Linked DNA regions of Rattus norvegicus. The protein of the gene in region 1 interacts with the protein of each later gene in a pairwise test. Links are inferred from orthologs where the notes say so. Each region holds a gene or a part of one and is shown in the gene's direction. Other genes may lie near its edges.

Region 1 (3,595 bases):
CTTGCGCTTGCTAGGCAAGCGCTCTACCACTGAGCTAAATCCCCAACCCGGATCCTCAACTCTCTTGACACCATTTTTAGAGCTTCTTTAAAACATACTTTTTGCTTCTTGTCCCTTTGTGGAGCCAGGCCGCAGGATGAATGCCAGCTTCCTGTAGTACTCAGGAAGTCCCTGTCTGCCTCACTTCACGTGACTGGTGTCCCCACCATATACCTGTGGACAGATAGCTGATCTTCCTGCTGCCCGGCGCCCAATCTCTCCTAGTGTCCAAAGTGTACCCTGCTAGCCTCCTGGAATTCCCCTCGTCTAAGAACTGTCTTCCTAGCAGCTTGGATCCTGCCCAAAGATTTGTTCTTGTTATTGTTGCTCCGTGGTAGAACCTCTTTGAAGCAGAGTATGAATGAGGGGTGAATAGCTCTGGTTGAAGCTGGAGCCTGTTAGCTTACGTTTCTGGAAGAGCACCCTGACATGATGTTGGATGGAACAAAGACCGGGGGGTACAATGCCTCGGGCTCCTGAAAAAGTTCCCTTAGGCTATTGAGACTCAGGTGACCGCCCCAGCCCGAGGTACCCAGCCTACTGACTCTGCTCCATCCATAGGATTTTGTGCTTATTAAGAACACGAGCCAACAAGCAGCACGTTTGGGAAACACCGTTCACGCCATGATCATGTATCGCCGCAAACTGGACCGAGAAGAGATCAAGCCGGTGAGTTACATCAGGGTCAAGCGGCGGGGTAAGGAGAAGAGGCCTGAATCTAAACCACGCTGGGCCTTCCTCCCAGGTAATGGCACTGGGTATGGTACCCATGTGCTCCTACCAGATGGAGAGGATGTTCAACACTACACGCATCCCAGGCAAAGAGACAGGTACTGGGCTACAACCAGGCACCCATGAAGAGAAATCCCTGGCACCCATGAAAAGGAAGTCATAGCCATGGCAGCTAAGTGCCCAACTACTATTCGTCTCTAAGCACTCCAGTGTCTCAGGGCCATGAATGTGTAGTCAGTTCGAGAGAGATTCTAGGTGGTCGTTACTTACAGACATTGCAGATGCTGGGACCCCTGAGGGGTCCTTCTAGGGTCTCCATAGGGAGGTCGTCATGAATAAAGAGAAATGAGATGAGCTCTGCCGGGGTAGTGGAACTCAGGAGAAGAGAGTCCATCCCTCATGGATCCTAAAAGGAGGCAAAAGAGACTTACTGGGGAGTGGGGGAGGGGGCGGGAGTGCACAGGGACTGACTGGCTTAGACAAAGGAATGCCCAGGTCAGATGTGCTGCAAATCAGGGTCTACAGGGACTGTGTGTTGGGGGGAGATAGCCCCTTTCTGGGCTGGAGAGGGGAACTGGGTATTTTCTGAGGCCCTGCCTCAGCTGCTTCCCGGTTTCTGTCACAGACTTGCTACAGCACCTCTCAGAGAGCAGGCACGTGGCTGTCTACCACAAAGGTCGCTTCTTCAAGGTTTGGCTCTATGAGGGCTCGTGCCTGCTCAAGCCCCGAGACCTCGAGATGCAGTTCCAGAGAATCCTCGATGACACCTCCCCGCCTCAGCCTGGAGAGGAAAAGCTGGCAGCCCTCACCGCAGGAGGAAGGTACCCAGGGTCTGTAGGGAGGGTTTGTCCAGGCCCAGGTTCAAGGCTTCATGAGAAAAAAAAAAATGCTTGGTCCCACCTCCATCCTAGAACTGGGGGCCAGAGGTGCAACTGAGGCTAGGCACATAAAACCTAGTGAAGGGCACTGGTGGTAAGGACAGAGGCCATCTTTCAGGATCCCCAAGTGGCTCTTCCTCATCTCGTCTCCGGATTCAGCCTGATCCTGAGGTACCCTGGTTTTAAAATATACATACATACATCAGTTCCACCGCTTCCCTGACCTTGCATCCCCAGGGTAGAGTGGGCAGAAGCACGTCAGAAGTTCTTTAGCTCTGGCAAGAACAAGATGTCCCTGGATACCATCGAACGTGCTGCTTTCTTTGTGGCCCTGGACGAAGACTCTCACTGTTACAACCCTGATGACGAGGCCAGTCTCAGCCTCTACGGCAAATCCCTGCTGCACGGCAACTGCTATAACAGGTACGTGCCGCCCTAGGCTCATGGGTCAGAGGTTAAAGTTCAAGTTTAGTGATGACAATTATAGGCCAGTGGTTAGGGTCAGAAGATTAAGGTAAAAAGTCAGGTGCAGTGTTAATGGATAGATAGCATTATTTACAGGTAAGGTCGGATGTTGAAGATTAGGAATGGGGAGCGTGGGACTGGAGAGATGGCTCAGTAGGTTAAGAGCACTGGCTGCTCTTCAACCCCCAAATCTGACGCCCTCCCATAGGCACACATGCAGGCAAAACACCAAGACATATAAAATAAAAATAAATAAACTTTCTTTTAAAAAGGCGAAGAATGGAGATTAAGAGGGCCAGTGGGGTTGCTCAGTGAGTAATGGTACCTGTGGCTAAGCCCTATGACCTGAGTTCAAACCCCGGAACCCCAATGGTGGGATGAGAGAACCAGGACCCCAAATTTGTCCTTTGACACCACGCAGGCGTGTGCACACACACGTACATATTTTCACACACGCGCACACACACACACACACGCACAAAGACACATGTAATTTTATAAAATTTAAAGAACAATAGAAGTTGAGGTTAAAGTTCTGGGTTAGTAATTAGAATTGGATCATGAGTGTTAGCAGTATACGGTTAGGGCAGTGGGCTGGAGAGCTAATTACCCAGTTCTGGGTCTATCCTGATCTACTCCTGCAGGTGGTTCGACAAATCTTTCACTCTCATCTCCTGCAAGAATGGCCAGCTGGGCCTCAACACAGAACACTCATGGGCAGATGCTCCCATCATCGGTCACCTCTGGGAGGTAAAGTCGCGGACAGGGCATTGTCAGGGCAGGCACCTGTGACGAGGCTTGTTTCCAAGCTTGGTTTTATCCCTGCAGTTCGTCCTGGCCACTGATACCTTTCACCTGGGCTACACGGAGACAGGACACTGTGTGGGTGAACCCAACACCAAGTTGCCGCCGCCTCAGCGGATGCAGTGGGACATTCCCGAGCAGGTATTCAGACTAGAAATGGCCAGCTTAAGTCCCACCCTCAAGACAAAGGGACAAGAGCTTCTCGGGGTGCCATGTGGGACACAGGGAAAGCAGAGACCCCAGGGTTGTCTGGTTAGAGAAAGACTGAGATCCGTCGCTCACAGTGCCTGGTAGATGGCACCTCCCTCTCCACCAGGCTCAGCGTGGCCTCATGCCATATCCTCCCAACCTGTCATTTGTGTGTCCCGATGCTATTGAGCTGACCCCGCCTCCCATCACTACGTGAACCTTACACCTTCTTAGATCTAGAGGCCTCCTTTGAGGACTTTGCCCTCAACTGACCCCATTCCACGTCTTGGCAGTGCCAGACAGCCATCGAGAATTCGTACCAAGTAGCCAAGGCCCTGGCTGATGATGTGGAGTTATACTGCTTCCAGTTCTTACCCTTCGGCAAAGGCCTGATCAAGAAGTGTCGGACCAGCCCTGATGCCTTTGTGCAGATTGCCCTGCAGCTGGCTCATTTCCGGGTAGGAGCTTCTGAGGGCTGCTGCGGAGCG
Region 2 (3,467 bases), on another chromosome or scaffold:
GGTATGCATCCATTTTCCACCATGAACAGCCAATAAACCGTTTAGAACCGTGGACTGTCTCTTTCATCAAGAGACACAGTGGGAAGCCATGGAGAAGGCATTCAACTACAGAGCCGCAGCTTAATTCTCTACCCCCGTCACAGCCACCACCAAGCTAAGGACAATCACTCCATGGGACAAGCTGGAGCTCCCCCTTTCTCTTGGCCCAGGCTAGCCCTTGCCCCCCCCCACTCCATTCTCTGCTCTTCCTTGACTCCCAGTGGTGCCTGAATGCCCAAGAGTCTGAAACCTGAAACCACCACCACCACCACTCCACCACCCCAGCTCATTACAGGTCCAGGGACACCCCCCCACCCCCAGCTCCGGCTTTCCCATCCCCTGAGCAATGTCTTGGAGCTTCCCTACAGCCTGGCACCCACCCCGGCGATGGTGGCATAGGATAAGCACAGTCAAACTCCTAGAGTTCTGCCTCCCCAAGAGGCCGTGCCCAGCAGCAGAGCAGGCGCGGAACCACACCCCTGCCCCCAGGAGAGAAGATATAAAAGTAGACCCAGTTCTCCCTAGGGATGCTGGGGTCCCTGGGGGCATCAGATGCCTGCTTCTCCTCTTACCCACCACAACTACGCCTAACCTGGCAACCAGAGTGAGCACAAACACACACTCTAGCTGTGGATGAAACAGCATACTCAGCAAGCGCTCTACAGCCAGCCAAACCCAATCCACAGCTACCTTCTTAGCACAGTGGGTTTATCTGGGGCCCTAGTCCTTCTTAAGATTACCCGGAAGTCTGCACCCATTTGCAGCTCTCTGTCCTCCCAGCCCAGGTGAGGAGGTGGATTGTCCTGTGTCCAAAAGGTTAACTCTAGCTCTAAGGATAGCCAGCCTAGATGCTTGCCGCCCAGGCCCTGGCCTCCACTATCCTCCCCCCATCCCCCTGCATTGCTAGAGAAATGGCTCCCAAAGAAAGACTGACTAAACTGGGGTCCTGAAGCACCAATGAGGAGAGAGGTGGTGGGAGGGATAATAACCTGGTGTATCAAGTGTCTGTTATCCTAGTTCTTGAGAGGCTAAGACAGGAGGATCATCGGAGTGGGAGATCAGTCTGAACTATATAACAAGAACACTGATCCCCCACTCCCAAAATAAACTAAAAACCCACTCATTCAAACTCAGCATCACCTTCCTTTATCATGCCCCAAAGCACAGTTCCCACAAGCTCTCACAGCCCTGCGGCTGCATCTGCACCCACCTCCATATCTTCATCTTAAACCGAGATGGTGATCCTTCATTTCCTGTGTCCCTACGGCTCTGGCTATGCAACATCACCTGCATTCAGCCCGCCAGGACAGCCACTCAGCAGACTCAGGACATTCAAGTGGACTTGCTCTACAAGTACCTGTGACATCATCAGCTGCCCACAACCTCCTGTGACCTCACCACCTGGACAACTGAGCCTAGCAGAGGCAAGCCACTCCTTCCCAACCACCATAAGTAGCAGGGGGCATAGATGACCACTGAGCCCTTGGAAGACCCTGAAGCCAACAGCAATTTTGTACATGGTCTTCCTGAGGCCTCCTTGGGCAACAAAGCTGATGAAAACTCTGAAGATTTACCCGGACCGTCTGAAGGACTGGATCCCCTACCTGATGAAGTCCCACCAGAAGACATCGTGGAAGCACGAGCTGAAGAGGATGTAGACCAGGCCTCTGAGGCAAACATCATCGCCACAGAGCAAGATGAAGAGCAGGCCTCCATGCAGATTGCCACTTCTATGGGACAGAATAAAGATCGGGCCTCCATGCAGACGGACACCTCCACAGGGCGAGATGCAGAGCCAGCCACCTCCATGACTACATCAACATCTGGGGTCAAAGAAGAGATCCCAGGTACTCCAAATCCTAGCCAGGAGAATCTCGAAGAGCTCACATCCCTGCTGCCCCAAGACCCAGGTATCCTGCAAATGTTTGTAGGTTTCCAGAACCCAGTGTGGGACAGGCTGGCTGAAAACAACCGCACAAGTCGGAGCCGGACGGTTTCCCCAAGTGACTCCCAGACCCAAGAAAAGACATCAGGAAAGTCAACTGTTTCGGAAGGGCAACTGGAGATAGCTTCAAATGCTGACGTCCCATCTGTCCTACCTGAAGATGTCCAGACTTCTGCAGGAGCTACTGACCCACCCCCTTCAGATACCACTGGTCCTGAACCAGAACCCACCAAGTCTGCTGATCAGGAGGCTGAAGATTTCAAGGCCTTGAACCCTGAGAGCAAAGTTAGATCTCCGAAGTCAACCAGTGAGGATTTAGCTGCGGACTCAGGGACCCCTCAGGCCCCACCTTCTCCAAATTCCCCAGCAGACAGTCCACCCCCCTCTCCAGATTCCTATCAGGTGTCCCTAGGAAGGAGCCGTCTGGACCCCAGTCTGTATGGTCCTGAAGTGGAGAATGACTACATGCGCTCTATGACCAGCTTACTGTGTGGAGGAGAGGGCTCCATCAGCTCCCTCACAGACATCCTGGTGTGGTCAGACACAGCCACACGCATGGGTGTGGCTATGGGCATTCTGGCCTCAGGCCGCAGCTCTCCAGCTGACAGGCTACAAGACGAGGGTCCCCGACTGCGCACTGTCGCCAGCCTCTTTCGCAGTGCCAGGTCAGCTTTCTCGTCTGGGGTGATGGCTGGAACTAGCTCAGTCCTGCGCTCTGTCACACACCTGCTGGAATCTGTGGAGAGGCACACTATGGAAGGCATCCGTTCAACTATGCGCTACCTGAACCACTTCACCTTGCGCTGGGCTCGCACTGGCTCCAATAGTGACTAGACCAGCAAGCCCCTCTACTCCTTCCCCAACCCTGTGCTAAATAACTGCTCCCTGCCCCTCAGTAAATAACCACAAGCGTTTATTTTCTAAGCTCTGCCCTTATCCATGCAATGGGACAACAGGGTAAAAGGAACGAATGGGGCCCACAGGTAAACCTAGGAATGTGCCTCTCTGCTCCTCAGCCCCGTGCCCAAGCTACCTGTTGAGGTTCTGGGAGGCAGGAGGGGTTTGGGAGTAGAGAGTACTATATCAGGCCTCACAGGAGGGACACACACCCTTAGGTCCTGTGTAATCTTTTTAAGGCTTAGAATCAGACTTGTGAAGTCTCCTCTCGTCCTGGGCCCCACTCCCTGGCCTCCTTTCCTCAACCTGGAGTAGAGAAAGGAACTCCACCACCACATACACACGTCAACATCCCAATGCCAGAAGACACAGGACAGGGCTCCAGGGAGGGTGACCAAACCATCTCTCAGACTAGAGGGGTGAGAGGACACTGTGGATGTTAAGGCCTTTAGATTTCAAAGAACTGGCTGCCCACCCGTGGTCCACGTCATCTTCATGATGTTTTACTCCGGTCTCTGCCATTTGCATCTTGGGAAGTAGGTACAGGAGCAAGAGCTGAAAGCACACCCAAGGCCTCACCATCTAG

What was found.
Region 2: the proteins of Cpt1b (region 1) and Tex44 interact in binary tests that used the Homo sapiens proteins (3 or more experiments, as listed by UniProt). The two-hybrid records come from large-scale screens. The link is inferred for Rattus norvegicus from reciprocal best matches to the Homo sapiens genes CPT1B and TEX44.

The regions. Positions count from the first base shown.
Region 1 is NC_086025.1:122,373,684-122,377,278, reverse strand, and holds part of Cpt1b (carnitine O-palmitoyltransferase 1, muscle isoform), read left to right. Parts: intron 1-600; coding exon 601-708; intron 709-784; coding exon 785-869; intron 870-1,396; coding exon 1,397-1,592; intron 1,593-1,886; coding exon 1,887-2,072; intron 2,073-2,758; coding exon 2,759-2,864; intron 2,865-2,942; coding exon 2,943-3,059; intron 3,060-3,400; coding exon 3,401-3,565; intron 3,566-3,595. UniProt on the Homo sapiens protein: Catalyzes the transfer of the acyl group of long-chain fatty acid-CoA conjugates onto carnitine, an essential step for the mitochondrial uptake of long-chain fatty acids and their subsequent beta-oxidation in the mitochondrion.
Region 2 is NC_086027.1:94,522,170-94,525,636, forward strand, and holds Tex44 (testis-expressed protein 44), read left to right. Parts: upstream 1-1,479; 5' UTR 1,480-1,507; coding exon 1,508-2,818; 3' UTR 2,819-2,898; downstream 2,899-3,467.